Struthio camelus: one gene and its partners. The protein of the gene in region 3 purifies or fractionates together with the protein of the main gene of each other region. This does not show direct contact. Links are inferred from orthologs where the notes say so. Each region holds a gene or a part of one and is shown on either strand. Other genes may lie near its edges.

What was found.
Region 1: the proteins of LIG3 (region 3) and TDP1 purify together in Homo sapiens (affinity purification with mass spectrometry; 4 studies listed by BioGRID and IntAct, with this or other methods). This does not show direct contact. The link is inferred for Struthio camelus from reciprocal best matches to the Homo sapiens genes LIG3 and TDP1.
Region 2: the proteins of LIG3 (region 3) and APTX purify together in Homo sapiens (affinity purification with mass spectrometry; 3 studies listed by BioGRID and IntAct, with this or other methods). This does not show direct contact. The link is inferred for Struthio camelus from reciprocal best matches to the Homo sapiens genes LIG3 and APTX.

Annotation. Positions count from the first base shown.
Region 1 is NC_090946.1:64,624,984-64,633,020, reverse strand, and holds the start of TDP1 (tyrosyl-DNA phosphodiesterase 1), read right to left. Parts: upstream 3,067-8,037; 5' UTR 2,957-3,066; intron 2,241-2,956; 5' UTR 2,237-2,240; coding exon 1,690-2,236; intron 17-1,689; coding exon 1-16. Other genes in the region: EFCAB11 (EF-hand calcium-binding domain-containing protein 11), read left to right, coding at 4,749-4,775. UniProt on the Homo sapiens protein: DNA repair enzyme that can remove a variety of covalent adducts from DNA through hydrolysis of a 3'-phosphodiester bond, giving rise to DNA with a free 3' phosphate.
Region 2 is NC_090982.1:10,368,267-10,375,574, reverse strand, and holds the start of APTX (aprataxin), read right to left. Parts: upstream 3,022-7,308; 5' UTR 2,908-3,021; exon of another isoform or gene 2,762-2,907; intron 2,638-2,761; 5' UTR 2,631-2,637; coding exon 2,501-2,630; intron 1,537-2,500; coding exon 1,490-1,536; intron 1-1,489. UniProt on the Homo sapiens protein: DNA-binding protein involved in single-strand DNA break repair, double-strand DNA break repair and base excision repair.
Region 3 is NC_090957.1:14,942,372-14,949,904, reverse strand, and holds the start of LIG3 (DNA ligase 3), read left to right. Parts: upstream 1-4,451; 5' UTR 4,452-4,692; intron 4,693-5,263; 5' UTR 5,264-5,283; coding exon 5,284-5,830; intron 5,831-6,312; coding exon 6,313-6,456; intron 6,457-7,533. Other genes in the region: PHD finger protein 7-like, read right to left, coding at 2,783-2,828. UniProt on the Homo sapiens protein: Isoform 3 functions as a heterodimer with DNA-repair protein XRCC1 in the nucleus and can correct defective DNA strand-break repair and sister chromatid exchange following treatment with ionizing radiation and alkylating agents.

The DNA of each region.
Region 1 (8,037 bases), on a different chromosome or scaffold from region 3:
AGAGGGGACAAAATATCTATTGAAAAATATTAAAGCACAGTTGAGTTAAAAACAAACAAACATTTCACATTTTGAACAGTTTAACTACTACAACACGAGCACCACAATGTCCACAGGCTTGGCAGAACAGAGACATTCATGACTAAATCTAACAGTTTGAATACTCAAGTCACTGATGCTGCTATGAAGTAATTCAGGTCTTATGGTCCTAAAAAGAGTAACCCCTGTCAAAACAAAAAATACAATTAAAAGGTCATTAGGAGAGAGACCAAAAGTATACAGAGAAAGGGACAAACTATTTTCCCCCAGAAAGATTGCTTAAGGAAGAGTGGCAGGTAGAAGCAATAAGAGCATAGTTAACAATTAAAGACTTATCTGTTGGGAGCTTCTCTCTAGACAGCCTCCAATCTCCCCTTTTTCTATGTTTTTCTTCTTCCCCATTTTGAGAGGGAAAGGTAAACTGACCAGAGTCTTGTCTGAGAATGTGCTGATCAATGCAGGCTGGGGGCAGATAGTAACTCAAGTTGCAACTAAAATGAGATACGTAGCAGACCGATTACAGAGTAAAGGGCAACGCATACCCTTAATCTATTTTACTGTTGGGAAGAACACAAAACACTAAACAGCTCAAATACTTAAAACCTCAGTAATCGAGGCACAGCAGCTACTTGAAAATACACCCTGCATATACGTTCCAGCATAGACATCATATTTTATGCCCTTCCTCTAAAAAAAAAAAAATCTCATTTGGCCCATTAAACAAAAAACGTAGCCTCTCCCCAAGTTGAGGGAATCACCTAGCACAGTAAGCACTCCTAACAGGAGGAAGCTCAAAAGCCACAGTACATTCACAAAGTAGATAAAGATGTACAGCATAATGCAACTGATGTCTCTGACATCACGTCATCCTCCATTGCAAATGCTCACAGGGAACATATCAGGTAAACAGTCATAACCTAACTGTATGGTCTTCAATTACATGTTCTCACAACACTACAGAAATTCATATCCCATTTCACTAGATTTCTGTGCACAAACACCCAACTAATAGTTGCTTTTGTTGCTGTCTTGTGATGCATGAGATTTCTGAATGAGTGGATGTTTATAGGTGTGCAGAGCTTTTCCTCCCCTTCAGATCAGCTACAACAAACTTAAGTTACAAAGTACTCTTGAAATATTGCTATTGTACACTGAAGACTTCATCTTGATTTATGCTTACTTTCAATTGCACTGAAGAGTGACTACAAATTCCAGCAGCAAGACTCTAGAAATGATACATTGCACAGTATGAAGTAACAGTAAATTACTAGGTCCAAACCAATCTGGGAGGGTGGTCATGCACCCAGGAAAAACATCCCTTTAAGATGACAAAGGGAAGTGGATTTCCCCAAATGAACTCACATGGAAAGCAGCAATAAGCACCATATGATACACCTTGGATAAGCAAACATAAGTTTGTGTAGCATAACTCAGAAGTTGTAAGAAAAAAAAAATCAGTATCAACAGGTTTATGCCATGCACTATACCTCTAAAAGAAAGAGGTGAAGATAACAGAACCAATTCTTATAACTTGCATATTTAGAATCTGAAGCTTCAGTTACACCAAGGAATACATGCATTATAAAAAAAGGCATTCTCTTGCCCACAAGCCTCTCAAAAAGCCCATTTCTGTAGAACTCATCTATTCACCTTTTATGTGTAGGGCACCCGAATTATAATTCTGTTTGATTCCTCTGACTTTAGTCAGGAAAAATCTGAAAGGGTTCCCTCCATTCAACAAATCCCAAGTATCCTGGGCTTCGCTGGGTGCTTCACAATGCTCCTCTGCCTTCTGATTCTCTGGGAGTTCATTATCTTTGTGAAAACTCAGAGGATGCTCTTTAGGTGCATAATCCTTCTCTTCTTTCACCGTTTCTTTGTGCCTTTGCTTTTCCTGATCTTCAGGCTCGTCATCACTACTAGAAAGACACCAGCCTAAACCTTCTTGGCTAGGTCTCTGTTTTTCTGCTGGACGTATTTCTGCAGAAAAGCTGTTCTCACTGAACCTCAGTGGAGAGGCTTTTCTCTTGTGAGCAGCTTTCCTAGCTTCAGAGCATGGATACTGTGGCCCACTTGTTCTGCCATGCACAGCAGGCAAGAACAAAGATGTAGATGGCTTCTCATTATCAGAGTTTTCTTCAGTACTTTCATCACTGCTAGATACTGTCCATTTTCCATGTGCTCCTTCCTGAAGCATGTTCCTGGGGGGATTGGGGGGGAGGAGAGACAAAAAACCCATGAAGCTGTACCATGTTTGCTGCGCTCAAGACCGTTTTTCCTTCCTAGCATCCATTCGCTCATCTCCACGACCTTTATGATTTTCTTAACTGACAGGATCTCTAGACTTCTGATTAGGATATATTTTATAGCATACAGAGCTTATTTGTTTTTGCACCCAGGAGATGGGGAAACACTCATAGCAGAAGCGACCATCAAAGAAGAAGCAGCTAGCACACAAACTTGCACACACACACAAAAGTAGCTAGAAGGGGAGCACGCGTAGAAAATAAGAGGAACGACTTTCATCACAGATAGTTCTCCTGCCAAACCCAACCATCAGGTCTAGCACACTATCCTAGAGAGACACAGGGGCAGAACCGAAACACAGGCGTAACAGATTATTAGTGCTCCACCCACAGCGAGAAACGAAAGCTACTCCACCGAAAACAAGACTGTGGGCAAGCGAGCTCCATTTATAAACGAAACTGCTCCACAGCCTGCAATAAGACAGCCGGTTCCGGCCCCAGGGCCCCCCGTCCAGCTGCCCCTGCGGGACCAGCCTGCCCCCGCCGCCCCGCGCCCGCCGCCGGGGCCCTCAGCCGCGCCGACAGTCCCGGCCACCCCCCGGGGCCGCCGAAGCGGCGCGAGGCCGCAGCACGCGGCGCCCCAACGGCCGCGGCGCCCTAAGCCGGCTCACCTCGCTGGAGCCGCCGGCCAACGTGCCGCGGGCAGCCTGCGCCCGCCCCTTCCGTTCCGGAGAACGGCAGCTTCCCCCAAGCCCTAGCGCCCGCGCGGCGCCAAGCCAATAAGAGGCGGCAGCGGCCGGGCTCCACCCCCTCTGCTCTGCCCCGCCCCCCAGTCAATGGCGCGCTTCGGGTCTCCGCCAATAGACGGCGGCGGCGGCGGCGCGCGGGTTGCTAGGCAGCGTGCGGGGCCCGCTGCCGCGGGCGGGCCGGCCGGCCGGCCCCCGCCAGGGGCGCGCTACGCGCGGGTGCGTGACGGGCCTCGCGGGGCAGGGGCGAGCGGCGGCGGCGGGGGCCGGGCCGGGCCCCTTCTGGCCTCCCCCCCGGCGGCCGCGGGTCCCTGCGCTGCGGAGCGGGGCCGCCGTTGGCTTCCGCACCGCTCTGTCGGCGGCTGCGTTGGCTCGGCGCCCGGGGGGTGCCCGCCGCCGCCTCCGGGCCCTGAGGGGAGTTCCGTCCTCCGTCCCGTCGGTGCCCGGTGACTCCCGAAGAGCTTTTTCGTCCCTCCAGAGGGGCAGCGGGTATCTAGAGGTGTTAAGGCGGCTCTGGCGCCCTGTTACGGCTGCTGCCGCGGCGAAACTATCGCGTCCTGGGGATGGGAATTAATCTAGTAACTCTTCATTGGGCGTTAGTGTTAGTTTAGGGCAGGTGTAGTATTTGCGTAATCGTTCATTCAGCTCAGTGTTAATTACTGTGCCTGAAGCGCCCGGCTGTTGAGATAACTGCATGACAAGCTAAAGAAGGGAGTGGGAGGAAAACAGGTGTACAATTAATCACAGTGAGAGCGCGGACTACATCACAGCTGGCTCTAGCTAACAAAGTGAACTGTCAGAGCATTTGATTCTCATTTTTCTAATTTATTACCAGCTTGTGACTGCAGTTAACAAATAATGCAAGTGTCTTGTATCAGAGTGTAATAAAATCAGCAAACTGCACCTAGCAACGCCTTAATGAAACTTCCACTTGTTCGTGTAATTTCCTTAGTACTCTTCTGCAGAATTCCAACATAATATTGCATGTAATGCTTCTTCCTGAAACAACTTACGGATATGCTCTTCAATGCTACAACATAAATGTGAAAACATGTAACGACTTATCAGTGCTTGCTAAAGCTCTTTTGAGGGGAAAGCCTCTTATGAGAATTAGGTATTTCTGTATTTCTATATTATATGCTTAATCTCTTATCTAGGCATATAGTGTGGAAAGTGTATTTTCTTCTAAAAATAGTTGAGAAAATTTGCCAGCTTTTGACTATGCCAGCTTTCCAGTCTCTCCATCTCATAGTTCCTGCTTGTAGAGTGGCTTTAGTGAGAACTAAATATGCTTGACATGTCTCAAGAAAAAAATCAAGATCTGGTAGAAACAAAATTTAGTGTCATTTGGTGTCTACAATTCTGTACCAGATATGCTGCTACAGAATATGTATGCAATTCTTTGTTAAGTGCATAAAACACAGAAATAGAATAAATTTTATTGTAACTTACCAAAAATTTAAAATTAAATAGACTAATCATAGTAGTTTCAGCTGGTGTAAGACAAGGTTTCTGACTGAAATAGGACTAATCTTCTGTAGCTTGTTTTGTAAATATCTTTTATTTTTCCCTTAACTGTTATGCTAAGTAAAAATTTGTATTTCAGATCAGATTTATTGTTTTTTAATGTAAATATTTTTTTCTGTAGGTTTTTGAAGCATGTGATGAAGATAACAAAGGCTATTTAAGCAGAGAGGACTTTAAAATTGCCGTAGCAATGCTGTTTGGTTATAAACCCTCAAAAGTATGTATTTCTATCATTTATATTCTGAAGATTCAGGATATGTCAATGACTCAGTGAGGACACTCTTTACAGACTGGTCTGTACTGATTGGAGCCGACTACACTAGCTTTGTGAAACCAAAATACTTCCAGATTCTTAAAGAAATTTTGTTATCTGAGAGCATTTATTTCGAAAGAAAATAATCAAATCACTACCTTTCCCACTGAGGAGTTATTGCTCTAGACTGTGATTAGCAGATGGATGTACTGCGCTATATACGTGTACAAGATGCATGAAATAATTGCTATACTGAGCTTATTGTAAAGCTGGAGATGAGATCCAAATTATTGTTTCTTACTAGTGATGCACTGCATTTACTTACTGTGTGGTACTATTTGGCAAGAAACTACTGCATGTCATAATAACAAACACATATTCTTAACAAGAGATATGCTTTTAACAAGAGATTTTGCTTTTAAGTGAAAGTTGGGCTTTTTAAGTCATGACAATATAAGTCAATAGCTGTATGAAGATATTAAGAAAAGAAAGGTTTATTGGAAGAAACCATGTGTTGCGTACTTACAGGAAGATAAAGGATAAATCGTGTGGCTTAATGCACCTCTATAAACTATGTCCCTACTGTAGCTGTGCAAGTGATCTCAAAAAGAGCATAAAGAACACATCAGTTAAAGTGAAAAAACACTTTTACTAAAGTGTAAAAATAGTCATCTCTGATGTATTTCAGCTGTGGGTAAACATTTTCCAAATGAGTTAGGGCCAGATCTAAAAATAACTTAGGCTTCTAAATTGAGTCTTAACTGCTGAATTCTGAACATGAAAAAATGCTCAGCTTCCCCTTACCCTAAATGCTGCACAGAATGGCAGACCTCATCCTAAACTGCACCCTAAATACAGGCAAGCCTTGCTTTTGATATTAATATGCCTTTATTAATGCTTGGTTCCTGGGCAGTCTTTCAACTATATTAGTCTATCTGGCTTATACCTGTGTGTAGTCAGTATATGAGAATTAGCTTGTTCTTCTGTTTAAATTTTCAAAATGTTTCTTCCAGTAGGAGTACTCAAACCATGGTTACGGCATTCAAACAAGGACTGGTTCTGTGTGTAAGTCATTGATGTTTCTTGCTTGGGAAGAGAATAAAGGTGAAGGACTCCCAGGAGACAAGAGGATTCAAGTGTAGATATTTCTTCCTGAAAAAGTGGCAAGTCACTCTTGCTGTCTCTCAAGGCAGGGCTCTGACCATCTGGCTGTAGACCATTCTGTCTGTGCAGCTACACAAAGTTAATTAATGATATTTGTTCCAGGAGCGATTCTGTGGTCCTGTCGTTTTTGCTAGCTCCTTAAGTGGTCCCAGTTCCAGGAACTGTTTACTTTCTCCAATTTTTCACTCATTGTGAAATACTGAGAGAGCACTGAATTGACAGACGCTTTTCTCTGTAGCTTTTACTAATGTGTATTAATTGTGGGGTATGGCACATCCACATCCTTTGTATTTCATTGTTGGCTAGGCCTTGCAAGTGTTCTCTTCAGCAGTTTGGTGGTTTTAATCCAGTTCTGAGAAACATAGCTTTCTCACCAGATAGGAGCCAAGCACAGGACTTAAACTGTGATTTGTAGTATCCAGGTCTTGAGTATTTTAATGTCAATTTTGCTTTGTTGTCAAAACAACTAAAATCAAAAAGACTACAGTAACAGCACTTGTATTTCCTCAGAATTCACTAAAACCAGTCCTGACACAGTACTTTCAAGAGCTTTTCCAAGAAATAGGAAATGGTGTGTATATGTTACTACTTCAGTTGCGGCAAAATTGTTTCCTAAACCATTGTACACGCTAAAATAAATTTTTTAGTAGAAATGGCAGTTGTTTAGCATCACCTGCACTTTTAGTAAATTGGTAAATAGCTAATGTGTCATTTTTATAGCTCAGGTTTCTGTTTGTTCTTTAAATAAAAAGTAATACTAACTTTTCCCACAAGATGTCACCAAAAACCTCTTTACTGGAGGAAATGCAAATTACAAATTTGAATCACATTCCTACTGCACTTGCTTTTTCCAAATCATTTGATGAAGTATAACAACATTTTATTTTCGTTTTTTATAAAATACTATTTTCATATGGCTATTCTTAGTGGTTCGGAACTTGCTACTGTTTAAAATTAAACCTTCTGAGACAGGTAACTAGGAAAGCATGAAAATGGAAAGATAAACCTGAATTTTGGACTGATATTGAAAGTAAATCTAATACATTTATCAGCATATACAAGTCATAATTTCTGGAAACTAGCAGCATTGTGGGGATCGTGTCAGTGGGAGATCTTTTTATTTTTTCTTCTAAAAGTTTGATTCAATGGTCCCCTTTGCACCCAAATTATTTAAACTGATCTAAAATGCTCTCTGATATATCAACAACCATTCAGCTCGCTAAATGCACATTTGGATCCTAGGTGTTTCAAACAAAAAGGGTACTGCAGGAATAGTAGTTTAAGGTAGTAAAATCTGTTGGCTGTAAACTGTATTACAAATACCTCGAAACTCATCTCATTCACATGTTTTCCTGTCATTGTCCCAGCCAAAGTCTCACTCTGAATACTCAGTGCAACCTTTAGATCTAAATAAAAGCATTGTCTACAATGTGCTTAGAAAGATACACTGTGCCAGGCTACAAAGCATGTCCGGTGTTTTCCCTGACCTGGCTCCGTATGTTCACGTTAGGACACTGGTAGCTCGGCATCTGCTGCTGAACAAGATGCCAGCGGCTTGGCATCCAGAATACAGAAGGGCAGTCTGAGCTCAGGGCTGCTTATAAATTCCAGCTGCTCTTTTGGCATTCTTACTAAAGATGTTTGAAAAGGACTCCCTAGACCATTTATCTGCCCAATACAGTCTATGTGAAAAGTGTTGCAGGCCAAATGCAATGTGTGGTGTAAGGCTATCTGGCCACAGCGTGTTTGACTGATCCGTTCTCCAGAAAAGGGTATGCTTAGATTTGTGCTAAGAGCTGCTAACATGTCATCTCCTTGCATGTTGGTTGTCTCGGCACTACAAGTATGCGCGGTCTTGTATTCTAAGAGCGTAGATGTGAGAGTCTGGTCTCAGGATCATGTACTCAGTCATGCTAAAAAGCGGTATAGCTATAGCCATAGGTGGACCTCTGTGCTTTCTTGGACATACACTCCCATTCTGTTTAATAAATTGGTTAAAGACCTTTTCCAGTAATCTCTTGGTTAGCCACTAATTCAGTTCTGAAAACGTCAGTGGTGTTTT
Region 2 (7,308 bases), on a different chromosome or scaffold from region 3:
GACAAAAACAGTCTAGAGAGGTCCCCTAGAGGAGTCCACTCTGAAGAAACCAGAGATCAGATTCACGCTCGTCTTTTCTTCTTTTTCAATTCATATCTGATAACTCTTCCCCAGCCCACATAAGACTATGTTTAAACAGAGCTGGTGACAATACTTTGTTTCTTTCAAGAGAGGCTAAAGCTCCCTGCCCACCCCAGCATGTGTAAGTATGACACCTGCAGTGCCTGCTTAAGCAGATACATTTTGGTCATGAGAGCGACCCTATGGAAGTATGGAGTCTCCGGCTTCAGCAAAATGCTTTTGGTTAATGTTTATACATGGTACACACTGTAGGAAGCCAGATGATGCTTGTGACTGACGGACTCTGACACAAAGTCTTTCTTCAGCTTTGTCACTGCAGTACCTGCATGTTTCACCAGATGGTACTGTGCATCTCATCAGCTGATACTGCCTGTGACAAATCCCAGATTCCAGCCATGATCTTTTCGGTCTATAACCGGTAAAGTTTCACTCACACTAAGTACATTTCCATTCCCCGTGATCAATATGTTATTTAACAGCTGATCACTGGAACACTGTGTGCCACACACCAAACACGGGAAGCAGCTCTAGAAAACGTGCTAACTGCCACCACCAGGGGGTACTCCCTGGCCTAAGATTCCAGTAACATCATATTCAAACGGCTGTTAAGGCTGATTTCTGTGAAATCGTATCTAAGAGTTTCTTGTAGAATTCATCCGAAACCAGCGGGGCCAAGTACTTGCTGAGCTCTTGGGACATTTTGATGGAAGACGTTATTCATCAGTAGACAGATGCGTGGTCTGCCTGGATGCTGATGCTGTGGGCACACATACACGCCTCAGCACTCGAAGCCAGAGAATTTTCCCTTCCTGACACCTCAGATATGTATGAGGACCACAACACGAGAGCGTAGGCCTGAGTCCTCCCAATTAATAACTTTAGAATGCCTTCAGTGCTGTTTCAAACCCCTTCGCTCCCTAGAGGTGACCACAATTTTGACAGTTCTCAAAGGTTTTTGTTTTGATGTCTAATAGAGCCTAGTCTCATCAGTGCAGTAAGAACCATTCTGACCTTAAATGAAGGGCTGCCTCAGCTTTAGAAACGCAAGGCTTAGGAGGAAAGTCAGTAAGTTAACCTCTTGATTAGGGCAAGCACATTGAAGTCTCCAAAACATACTCCCTGGAGGAAGAAAAGCCTGAGTATTCAAGGCAGTGTTCCCTAATGCTGCAGCTCTGGCTCTCTGAGACGCAAGTATGTCTAGAAGGAGCACCGCAGCCTTTGCACTGAGGTACACAGATGAAAGAGAGCCCTTCTGAGGACTACCTGGCATGCTCACCTTGATCACAGAACAGCTTGAGGCCGTTCAGGCTGTGTGATCAGAACCATCACTTGCAGCATTTGTGGAGTGTAAGGGTAACGACCACCTCAGTAAGTATCAGAAATATTGTACATCCATTTGAAAACATACCTGTTTGACTGTGACATAACCCTCATTACAATCTGCTTTTAATTGTACTGGAAAAAAAAAAAGAAAGAAAAAGCATCATAAAACTATGTAAATAAGAAGGCCTGAAAGGCAGAGAACAGGCCTGCATTTTAAGCTTGTGTTACCTTCTGAGGAAGATTTTATGAGTACTTTTAGAAGAAGACTTTTGCCATGTTGTCTCAGTGTTTCCAGGATCACTGGTAATATGGGACTAGCCCATACGACTGAGTCACACCTGCATATTTCATATGGATCAGCAAAAATTGCATCAGAATAAAGGGGAACTCTATTGAAAAATTTTACAAGTTCTTGCTATTCCCATCAGCGCTCTGTCACAATATGGCAGGGAAAAGGGCTGTGTCCAGAATGGAAGTATAAGGCGGGGAAGGTGGAAAGCAGGGGGCATTTTACAGATCAAGATGTGATTTCTCCCAATGCGTTTATGAAATTCCAGTTTATGAAATCCCATTATAAATCAGTTGGTGGAAGTCAGGGCAGGACTAGCACCACTTGCCAAGTGAGAGCAAGGGCAATTGAACAGGACTATGGACCTGGGGACTCACGTTAGGGCTCGATACGTTAGTTTACAAAGATCAACTTCTTATCTTTGTTTCAGTAAGAAGGCCATGTTTCTTCAGATTTGTCAGAACCCAGAGGTCTTCCTAAGTGCTTGTAAGAAACTCAGTGGCTTTAGGAATCATGCAGCTCTGTGTATCATACTGAGACAAGAGATCAACAGCCAATGGATGCAGGAATAAGCCTACAGGAACCCCACTCAGATTTCAAGGAAGAACTACCAACTCCATTTCAACACTGCACAGAGCAGGCTTACAAGTAAGGCCAAAAAAGTGTTTCCGTGGCTTCACTGCCATTTAGCTGAGCAAAAAAATGAGGTTTATCGATCTGCATGACCCTATCGTGAGTGCTGCACTTGTCTTTTCACATGCTTGACAACTACCAGACTGGGAAAGCAGGACTCGTGCTCAGTCTTACCTTGCTGCCGGGAACACTTCTTATCTGTTATTCCAGTCTCGGGGCCACGTCCAACCACCACCGCTCCCAAGTGGGGCAGCCTGATTCGCGGACGGCATTGCTCTCTGGCCACCAGCCAGCACACGTGCATCACCGCCCTAGGGAGCGAGATAAACAGCACGTTAGTGACCGGCGGCTGCCCAGCAGGCTGGCTGCCGCCGGGGCGAGGGGCGTCCGGCAGGGCCTCCGACCAGCCTGCCGTCCCGAGACACTCCTGCTAACCGGGATCGCTTTTCGGAAAGTCAAGGCAAAGCCTCGCGGCCCGCCGTCCGGCCTACGCGCCGCCGTCGCCACCGCGGGCCCCGCCGGGCCTAGGCCGGGCCAGGCCAGGCCGCGTCCCCATGGCAACGCCGGCCCGCGCCCCTTACCGCGCGCCGCACCGCGCCGCGCCACGCCCCGTACCGCACCGCCGGCAGCGCAACGCGGCACGCCCAGCCAATCAGCTCCCGCCTCGCGGCTCACGTGACCTCAAGCCGCCCTCTGGCGCCAGCGCGGCGGCGCTATCAGCGTGCCCCGTGACCGGAAGGAGGGGCGTGCGCAGGCGCGCTGAGCCAGCGCGGGCTGGGGAGGCGCGGCGCGCAGGCGCGCTAAGCCAGCGCGGGCTGGGGCGGCGCGGCGAGGCGCAGGCGCAGCGTGGTGCGGTACGGCGCAGGCGCAGTGGGCAAGGCTGTGTGCCGGCGGGGCTGCGGCGACCGGACCGGCCGCCAGGGGGCGCCGCAGGGCGCTGCTGCGGGGCGGCCGAGCGCGGCGGCGGGAGCGGCGGGCGCCGTGCGCGCCCCTGCGCGAGGACGCGCGTGCCTTAGTTGCCGCTCTTTGGCTAAATATTCCGATTAAACCTCGTATTATCCTTAAAAACGGGCGCGGGCAGGCGGCCGTACCGAGGTCTGGCCAGCGCCGGCTGCAGGCGGCCGGAGCGCGATGCGAGCAGGCCCGGTTGGGGCAAAGGAGAGCCCCGCAGCGCAGCCCGAAGGGGGACCGGGCCCAGGGACCTTCCCCGGCGATCTGGGGGACGTTATCTGGATGTCCCACCTCAGCTGGAATATCAACTCAAAAGCAACGGTTGGGGAAGGAAAAATTAAAAAAAAAAAAAGAGGAAAGGAAAAAATCAGGATTTGCATTGTAGGCGCTTGTTCCGATACACATGAAATGGCAGTGGGAATGTTTTGACAAGATAGAGGAGTTGCAAAGGATTGGTAAGATACGGGAAAAACCAGTGCGGGTATCCCAGCGGTGGGAAGGAGCACGCTGCTGGCCCTGCCATCCAGGGCAGGGTAGGCAGTGAGTTGATGGTAAGCAACAGGTTCCAGGCAAAGTGTGGTGTCCCGCTTGGCGTGGGACCATCAGCTGCGATCAAAGCAAAGGGGCCGCCAGCATCCAGGACAACTGCAGGCCATTGTGGAAACTTAGTGGCAAAAAAAGCAGTGGAGAGACTAGCGCAATGGCTACCATGAGAGCGTGTCAAATAATCCAACAGGGCAGAAGCTCTCGTCCCATTAAGGGGGGGGCCCTCCAGCAGGAGAACCTGTGCAAGTGTCAGCGAGCTGCACTTGTAACGCTGGTAGTCATTAGGCTTCAGGGCAGCCAGCGCAGGTATCAGCTGGCCGGTTGGGGTCTCTGGCTGGGGTCTGTGGGGACTTCACCAGGGATCTTGCGTGCCTGTAAACGCTACGGGGAAGCAACTGCACAGCTCCGCTAGATGGCTGGGGTCTTTCGTGCGAGGAGGGGGCCTCACCAGAGATACAGCATGCACATAAACTTAACCACTACACTTAAACCTCGCATCACGGCCAGGGTCCAACCCTTGGCCAAATTATAAACTAGCTTGAAGCTGACCAAGGGTTCACAAAAAAACAAAAAGGGAGCAGCAGCTGGGGGGGCGGGGGGGGGGAGCTGGATTTGCCTGGCTCCTGAAGTCCTTGCTGCTCAGCTGCTCTATGTCGACTCAGCTGTGAGCATTCCCAAATCCTCAAGGACACAGCTCTGTGTGAGGAGATGGGGATTTATCCTTTTGCAAATGTACCCACAGTGTTATCACTGAAGGAGTATATTCAGGAACACGCCAACAACTTAACCAGCAAACTGTACTGGTCATAGAGTAGGCAAAGGGCCAGGAAAACAGGCTAACACCAAAGCCTGTATACTCTTGTTCCCTGGAAGCTGGAAAAACAGTTACATAAATTGCAAAAGGATTTCCTCACTTGAAAGGAAAAATCAGCCTGTATGATGGGGCAAGATATCAAAACTACCCCGTTTGGTTGAAAACCATACCTTTGGGAGGAAAAAGGTACAAATCTTAACTTTGTTACCCGATCAAAGAAAATAACACCTATCACTCACAGGGTGAGCGCAGAAAGAAAATGAAGTGATAAAGCCTCTGCTCACTTGCAGGAACAGTGAACAGAGACGGAAGGGTTAAATGTTTGAAGGTTGGAAGTCAAAGCTATTGGAGAAATGATAGCTGATGCCTGCCGTCCTGCTGCAGAGGCTAATCACAAGAATGTGAGAAACAGATAAGAGCCCTAGAAACACATTTGCAGAACAAGAAGAGGCCTATAATACAAAGAGCCAGCATCTTTGACTGCCAGCACCATTACAAGAAACCAGAAGCGGCTGGAAAATGCTTCAATATGTACTAAAAAATTCTGATCATAAAGAAAAATGAATATAAAGAGACAGTTCAAACTTAAGTAATAGATGGATGTAAATAATCTTAAGAGAAATGGTTTCAGTAGTTACAGTTAAAGCCAAACTGTAATAGCCTGATGGCCTTGGTAGGTCTTTTTGTTTTGTTTTATAAGGTCATCCATTGAAGAACAACTTGAACAGAAACAGCCAGACCTAAAGATAAAATTGTTCATTTCAGCAATGTGTGGGGTTTTTTTTAAACCAAGTGTGTAAGTAATGGAATGAACCTAGGAACCAGAGTAGAAGTAATATTAAAGGAAGATGGCATAGAAACGTATTAGAGAGTACTCATATCTGCCTGGTAACCAAGCTTAACAGCTGTATTCTAGTGTTTCTAAAAGTTAACCCGATATGATCTGAAATAATCTGTCAACACCTTCCCTTAAAAGGAAAAGAAAGAAAGGATAGTAAAATTATGCCTAACATCCCTGGATCTGTAAGTGTGAAGCTGTCTGTTTATTATCAGTAAGACAGGAGAGATGGAGGAAAGCAAAAAGGAAAAAAGGGTTGTGACCGATTATATCTGAAGCTCCTACGAAGGAAAATATTCCAGCCTGTGGAACAAAGATAATTATTAATCTTTGTTATTAATCATCCAAGGTTATGAATAATCAAATTAATTACCAAGGTGATGAATAACTGAATACCATCACAAGCCTATTTTACCTATAAGAAAAAAAATGTTGGAATAGTGCCTTTAAGACTGCAGGGCTGCCACACAGGAAAACACATCCAATTGTAATGTTGTTTATGCTAATTGTGTAAAGTATTGCCTAAATCTATGTGGTTACATACAGTGTACCACTTGCTGATTAGAACAGCCTATTTGGGGACTGACTCACCCTTTCAAGAACACCTGTGAGGCAAGAGCAGACCTTGCTGCGGCACAGCCTTATCAGTGAACACTCAGTCGCTGAGATTGAGCTGAGAGATGGCCATCTGTAGGGCCAGGTACCAAACTCAGGGGGTTTGAGATATTGCTGGATAGTCATCATATTGACCACACTGGACCCATTACAAAAGGTCAACCCAATTCAAGGGGTGGAAAACCCTACCCAAATCCAACCAAAGCCTACCTAAAAGCACTGTTCCAGATGAAGTTACGATTAAGCAGTAAAACCCTTAACTCTAGATCTCAAGTCCTGTGCAGTCAGTTATAGCAGGTAAGTGCACTAATAAATCAGACCACAGGTTCCATAGGCAAAGTATTTCCTGCCAAAAATACCTCTGCCTCCTTGTATACAGCTGACAGCTTGTCATGAGTCATGGTAAATAATGTCAACATTTGAAGGGGAACTGGCAACCCTGGAGAGCCTTTATTGGATGGCATTGACCTTAAATATCATTCAATCAACTGATTAAAAACTGAAAAGCAGGACAATGTCATAGAACTACAAGCGCTACATCAGAATCAACTCTTTATCCAGACTGCCAGGCAAATAGCTAATGCAGCTCCTGCCCAGTGGCTGGAAATCTGCGGTAGTTTTAGCTCCAGTGACACTGCTCTTCTACACCTATTCTCTCACCCAGTGTTTGTTTCACTTCTCACTGCCCTTTCATTATTAACTGCAGTAAACACTTTGTAAGAATCTTTCTAGTAGTCAAAAGGTTACTGGTGTAACCTGCAATTTACAGTATCTTTTGAAAGAGTCAACTGTATGTGCATCAAGGGGTGGAGTGTAGGAATCCTAATTGGAATGCTACTCTACATCAAGAAGCGTAGCGATCCACGCAACAGTTAACCTGAGTAGGCACAAGGCTATGCTGTGCTGCACGTACCCCTTGGCCGCAGGATGAACTGACATGGCTAATTGTAACCGAGGCAGCTGTAGGCAGCTCACACTTGGCACCAGCGATCACACCACCTGCAAGTCCTTATCTAAAAATGAAGCACCATGGTCTCATGTGAACATCCTCTTGCTGGACAGTGGGAATGGTGAATAGAACTGTTTTCTTCTAAGAAAATCCTGAAAGAGCTCCAGGGACCAAAACGCTGGTGAACCTCAGCATGGCCAGCGTGCCTTGTCCTAACAGAGAGATCCATCCAATGCTGTATCATCCTGGGGTTCCCAGCATCAGAAGGG
Region 3 (7,533 bases):
TTTCTCCAAGAAGAAATGAATCTAGCTGAGACTTTCCAAAACCCATCCAAGTGATTTGGATACTCACTTCTCATTAGTATTAACAGCAAGTGGGCATCAGTGTCTCCTAAACACCTTTGGAAATCTCTGACATATTTTTTGTGGCTCTTCCGTGAATCTTTGGGTAACCTGTACTAGAAATGACAAATTTCACATTTGTTTCTCTGTACTCAAGATATTCACAATTTCCATGCACCAAATGTCAAGATTTTCCCTCAGAAAGACAGCTGGGATGTGATAAGGAGGACAGACAGACTTTTGCTGTGTTTTGATTAAAGGACAGAGTTCACATTCCAAAACTGTCTCCTCTGCAGAGGGCTGTATATACCAATTTCAGGATAATACCATGTTCTTCATCTTTTTGTCACAGCCCTAGGCTGGCATGTCACTGCGATGGCAACAAGGATGCTGAGAAGTTATGTGGCTGCATGTGGTTGTATGCACTGAATCACATGCAGCATCCTGGACAGTGCTATCATGGAGGAAAAGGAGGGGTGGGCTACTATACATACACCTGATAACACGTCCTACAGAGGGGAACAGTTATTCTTTTTAGAGCCAATATTTTTTGTTACATCTTAGATCATATTTAGTCACACTTCTGGTTCCAGGAAATGCCTTTAGAGTCCATAATTTAAAAAAAAAAAAAAAAGAAGAAGAAGAAGAAGAAGAAGAAGAAATACAAACTGATTTGTGAGTTGGTAACAGATTATATTCTCCCCCACGTCACCCAAGTGAGGACCACAAAGAGGTTTGTAAGTGATTTTACTCCAGCTACACCCAACTTCTACACTTCAAGTGTTGTGCAGGCACTGAGGTACTTGACTAGTAGGTGAGAAATTTCATTCATGTGAAGCTGACCATAAAAAGAAATCAAAAGTCATTCAAATAGAAACTTTTCACACATTTAGAATCCAGAAATCCTCTCAAACCAAAGGCATTGCAAACCATTTCAGACTGAATTACCATGTACCACTCAATAGTAGCTTTTCCTTTCAAAGCCCTAGCAAAGTAAGTCTTGCCAAGAAGTATATATGCAAATAAGTACTACTGAGATTCCTTACATGGCTTCTTGATCTGTTATTTATCTGACATCACTTCCCTTTTTTTCAAATGTATTTCATGTATATATGCCTTTTTTCTATAATCTCCATCTCTCTTATCTCTTTTATTTTAATAAACCACACGTCCAAGTTCAGTATCTTCTTTAGCAGCTATACAAAGAGACACATTTGTTCACTGCAGTTATTAAAATTCTAAACATCTTCCTCCTTTTATTTGATGTTAGTGAGATTCTGGACATTTTCTTAATACCAAGAAGACTGGATTCATTGGAATGTAAATTCGAAAGAAGTCTTGCATCAAGGCTTTAATTTCAGTCCAAAAACACATCAGTTTAAAGGTATCTCCAGAAGATCTGAAGAAGGTGAGCTTTTTTTTATGAAATATTTTCAACACCAGTTTAAGATGAAGCACCTAAAATTGTTTTTTCTTCTTAACAACGAGGAAAAAATATAAAACTTGAGACCATCATTTTGCTTTCACATATTTTTCAAACTCAAACAGAACTGACGGCCACTTTGCTTAAGGATGAACAGACTCAGTCCTTTAAATCTGACTTATCAGCATTATCTTCTCTGTATTAATGGAATAAACTAGTAATAACAATGTTGTATTTTCCAGGGGCCCTCTCTAGTAGTCTGTCATTGATGACTCACATACAAAGACAGCATTATGTTCATAAGAGGCTCATCTCACTATTAACTATTCCAGTAGTACCAATTCCAGTATTAACTCTCAAGAGAGACCAGCAAGTGATCCTTCACTGATCCTTTGAGAAACTGCAGCAATTTGTTTCCTCATTTTCTCTGTGCTTTCTGTGAACTCAATGTCCTGCAGTTTTGTGGAAAGACACACACTGGATATATTGCTCTATTCATAGCTACTTGAAGGTACATCTTGGCAAAAGTGGGAGTTAGAGGATTTCATTCCAATAAGACTGTAAAACTCCAAACAATTTTACTTCCTCCGCTTGTAAACATATTTTTTGCACTCAGAAGAACAATGAATGCTCATCGTAACTTCAGGGGAAGAAACTGCACATGTTGAAAACTTAAGAGCAGTGACCATACGCAAGGGCCTTCTGGCCCCCGCTAGTCAAAACTTTCCTATCACTTACCTATTCACTTACCTGTCCAAACCGCTTTCTAAACCCCCTCCAGCCGGAGAAGAGCCAGAGGGCAATTCATCTCACCCTAAGTCAAGCCTCTGCAGGCTCCTCTATTGATTATACACAGAGCCTAGCTTAGACCACATTGCTAACTTTTAGAAATTAGGAAAGTGAATCCTACTGGTGAGAGATCGCTCAGCAGCTGCCTTATTTAAATCAGATTACGGTACACTGCAGTGAGTGACTCTCAGTGTCAGCCCTTGAGTCCATTTTTCCTCTCCATTTCTTTTACTAGGCTCAAACATAGTGAATGAGAGCTCTCACCAAAGAGGATGCTGTGAATGCAGTGCGCTAGCCGGCGTTCCCTGCCAGCTCTCTCTGAACAGTGTACCCACCCCATTTCTTCCTGGGTTGGATTGTTTTTTTCCTTCCCCTACAAAGAGGCCACTGCTGGGCAAACTGGCACCAGTTGCTGTTGGTTCTGTAAGCCACTTCCCAAAGTACATTTTTTGGTAAAGCAACCTGATCTATTACAATTTTAAAAATTTAACTGGATTAAACTTGCACACATACCTTTACTCCAAGTCTGCCAAATGCATGCTCTAGGTACTGAACGCATACATAACTCTTCGTTTAGGGTGACCAAACATAAGCACAGTGCATTCTGGGCATCTTCTAACAGCTGTTGTGAAGTCCTTAGTAAATTCTCTGAATCCTTTTACAACTCCCTTCCTGGGGCTCAAAGCTCCACTTCAGTTTGGTTGTAGGAGCTTGCTTCTTTCGTTTCAGGGTTCTCATGACCTCTGGACTGTGAGGGAGAGGAAGGTATGTTTCTATTCCAATACCAATGATTGAATACACTGTCCAAGAGGATAGTACTGCACCATTCCCTGAAGACAGACCCTAAATGAGGACAAGAGGAAGACCGACTGCTCTGCAGTCAGATCCTGTTGATCAGATAAATGCTTATCTCATGAACTTCATCCTAGCTTTGTGACCTGAATTGTCTAAGGAGAACACAGTCATTTCAGTCATCCACAGCTGAAAATAGCATGATTGCTATAGCTGACAACTAGTGTGCTGAGAAAATGAGGGAGACTGCCTGCAGTCAGCTTTGCAACTAGTTGGAGGGCAGCAAAAGGACTGGCATATGTGCCTGGTGAAGCAAATCCTGCACCCTACGTGTCATACTCAGCCCCAGACGTACTTCGTTACAGGCAAAGCAAGTCAGGCCACAACAACCCGCACAGTGCCCTTTTTCTGCAGGAAGGCAGGTATCCAGTCGGAGGTGCATACAGTATCCACACCGGCCTCCTCAGCAGCCTCCCGGCACAGCATGACAGAACTCTCACCACGGCATAAGGAGAAACAGCGACAGCTGCCACCACCAGAGAGTTGGCAGCCTAACTGCAGGCAAACACCCATCTGCGCTGGGACGCAGGGCCATCTTCATGGTGCCAGGGTGATTCAGCAGCGCCTCAGGAACTGCACAGACACAGCCCAATGCACTTACAGGGCTGCTCTGGGAAGGCCGGGTGATATGGCAGTACCTCAGGCCCTTCACAAACACGGCACAGCACTCTTGGAGAGCTGATTTTGGGAGGCTGAGCGATACAGCAGCGCCTCAGGCCCCACGCAAAGATGGCATGGTGCTCTTGGAGGGCTGATTTGGGGAGGCCGGGGATACAGCAGTACCTCAGCGCTGGCACAAAGATAGCCTAGCGCCCTCCGGGGCTGATTCTGGCGGCCGGGAGTAGAGCAGCACCTCAGGGCTGGCAGAGACGAGGCGAGGCGCCATCTTCGGGGGCCGGGGGTAGAGCAGCACCTCAGGCGCGGCGCAAACACAACATGGCGCCCTCGGAGGGCGGATTTCGGGCGGCCGGAGACAGAGCTGGCGCAGCACCCTCGGAGGGCGGATTTCGGCGGCCGAGAGGAGGGCAGCGCCTCGGGGCCGGCGCAGACGTGGCGCAGCGCCCTGGGAGCGCCATCTTCGGGGCCCGGAGGAGGCCCTGCGCGAACACGACGTGGCGCCCTCGGAGGGCGGATTTCGGGCGGCCGGGGGCAGAGCAGCGCCTGCGGGCCGGCACAGACGGGGCGCAGCGGGCCTCGGGGGCCGGGGCAGGGCAGCGCCTCGCGCCGCCACAGGCCGCGCCGCGCCTTCGCCCGCTGTCCGTGCGCGTGGCGGCGGGGGGAGGGGCGCCCCGCGGGGGCGGGGCCGGGGCGCCCAGCGGGAGGGGTCGCTCCGCCTGGGGGCGTGACTAGCGCCGCGGGGGCGGGGCTTGTGGCCGGCACCGCGCGCTACACACGGGAATAGAGCGCATGGGCAGAATAGGGCGCCTGCGTCATGCTCTACGGAAGCCCGGAGGGCCGAGTTTAAAGGGACCGCGGTGGCGGCGGCTTTCGCCTAAAGAAGGGGGGGGAGGGGAGCGAGAGGGGGGCGCCGGCCTGAGGGAGGGCGAAATGGCGGCGCTGTGAGGAGCCGGGTGAGGCCTTCACCTCCGGGGTCGCCCTGGGAGCAGCCGGGGAAGGAGCTGGGCCTGTGGCGGGGGACGGGGATGGGGACGGGGACGGGGACGGGGCCTTGAGGCAGGCTCGGGGGGGGGGGAGAAGGTGCTGTGGGGCAGGTGTGGGGGGGATTGGAGCCTGGCGGGGGGAAGGGGCTGTGGGGCAGGTGTGGGGGGGTTGGAGCCTTGTGGGGGGGAAGGGGTTGTGGGGCAGGTGTGGGGGGGGATTGGAGCCTGGGGGGGGGGAAGGGGCTGTGGGGCAGGTGTGAGGGGTTGGGAGCCTGGGGGGAAGGGGCTGTGGAATAGGTCTGGGCAGGCTGGGGCCCACGGAGGAGCACTTGTGGGGCAGGCTCTGGCATAGTGGGGCCCTTGGAGGCGTCAGGGCCCAAGGGGAGAGTTGGCTGTGGAGCAGGCCCAGGATGGGGAGGTGTCAGGATCTATGTGAGACCTTGCCCCAGCCCCACATCCCGCAGGCCAGGCGCGAGGCACAGGCCCCCTTTGGCCTGTAGGCCAGTGGGTGGTGGCTCAGTGTCTCTTCCCTTGCTTGCAGCCCAGCTTGGAGCAGGCTGGATGCCCACAGGCACTAGGACACTCGCACAGGCTGCCTGGGCACTCGGCAGGGTCACAGCTCTCTGCCTCCCACACGCACGGGCCTTCTTGCCAGGACCCCTCATTTGCTGCGTTGACCTCCCCAGAGCCAGCCCCAGCTTCTGGTGCCAGCTGCTGGCAAGGACCAGCTCTCTCTGGTGCGTGGGTGGTGGTGCTGGAGGTCTCCGTTTGCCCCCATCTTTGCATGCTCAGCCTCGCCAGGCCTGCACAGCTGCAGAGGACATGGCAGAGCAGAGGTACTGCGTGGACTATGCCAAGCGTGGCACAGCAGGCTGCAAGAAGTGCAAGGAGAAGATTGTGAAGGGGATGGTGCGTATCGGGAAGATCGTTCCCAACCCTTTCACGGAGTCTGGTGGGGATATGAAGGAGTGGTACCATGTGAAGTGCATGTTTGAGAAGCTAGAGAAGGCCCGGGCTACCACCAAGAAAATTGAAGACATCACAGATTTGGAAGGTTGGGAAGAGCTACAAGATGATGAGAAAGAATTAATCAACAAGCACATCTCAGGTGAGACACAAGGAGGGACGTGGGCTGCTTTTTTTGGGCCACAAGGTATGCCACTGATCATCATGCATTTCCCATGAAATCCTCACTAACGCATTAGTATGACTTGATAAAAAGGTGGGGAGTGATCAAATCTATGTCTCAGCCCTATAGTAAAGACAAAGAAGTAGTCACTTCTTAATTCATTTCTTGCAACTGATTATGCAGAAGGTCTCGGTGATTTAAGTCATATGTAGACGCTTAAAGTTCAGATAAATCCCACCAAGAAACAGCAGCTGTTTTCCATTTTCATCTTTTTCCATGAACTTTAGCAAATTCTGTAACCTTTTAACTTCTGCTATTCGAAAAATGTTCCTTCATTTTTTCTTCCTCAACCTCTAGTTGTTTTAAGACTTGCGTGTTGCAAAATAGCTTATGTTATATGCTGGGGGATGTTGCAGATTATCTCTGACTGCCAGTTTGAACCCTTACTTTGCTGTTTACAGAAGCTACTTCCAAGGCTGCAAGTACACCGAAGAAAAAAGCAACAGTCCAAGCTAAGCTCTCTGCCACTGGACAAATAACCAGTCCCAAGAAAGATCCACTAAGTACTGTCAATCCATCACCAAAGAAGTTCTCTGGCTTCACAGGTAGGGGTTAATAAATTGATTCTGGGAAATACTTTGCTTCTCTTTTAATATTAGCATCAGAGGTGTTTTAATTTGACTAACCTTTTTTTTTTTAATTTATAAAAAATGGTTTAGTTTTAACTGAAGTACTTTTATAAAAAATATCTAAATGTTCATGGAAGGGAGAATGGTTGTTCCTCAGCACCTTGTCCTGAGAAGCAGCAAGCCAGTCAGCAGGCGGGCACTGACTGGCCAGTCGGCAGACATGTAGCTCTGAACCAGCCAGAGCGCATGCTGCCACACACACAGCCAAAAAGATGAGAATATGGAGGGGTATTGGAGAATGTTATGAAAAGAGGTGATGAGGACATGGTGAGGAGCTGCATAGAAAAGCTACTGGTATGAGGAATATTAACGTACAGAACTAGCCTGAACTAGCCTTAACTCCACTGCTAATGGACCTAATTGCTTTATGATTGCTTATTTTGAGTGCTTTGCTGGTTCGCTGAAAGATACCATGGGTTCTTTTCTGCTAAAAGGCTGCTGGCCCACCTGAGGTCAGAAAAATACTTAGTGGCACTTAGTAAAACAATCATTCTGTACCAAAAACGTAAAGGTTTCTTTTTTGATGCAGTTAACTCACACAGTTATGCTATACTATGTAAGGCCCTGAGCATCTTCATCAACTTTGAAGTTAGCCCTTCTTTGAGCAGGAGTTTGGACTGGAGACCTTTGGAGGTACATTCCAATCTAATTTTTTCTGTGACTTGTGAGATAGTATAACATGCTGGGCATGGTTCTGCTCTGCCTTGGTAACTAAAAATGCTAGCTAAGAAAATGACAGCTATTAGTTTGTCCATAGAAAACAATGTATGGTTACTCTGGGATGTTCAGAGCTACATTGCAGAGGCTAGAGAACAAAACACCATTTGTTCAACAGGTTTCCCTCCCAACTTTTCTTCTTTAGACTTTTTTGCTATCTGTCTGAGTTACTTTCAAGAGACTGGGCATTGCAGAAAAAAACACAGAAAGAACAGGTACAGAAGTTTTTAAATGACCTTCAGAATACAGTTATTCAGAAACAGTGCAGACCTCTGA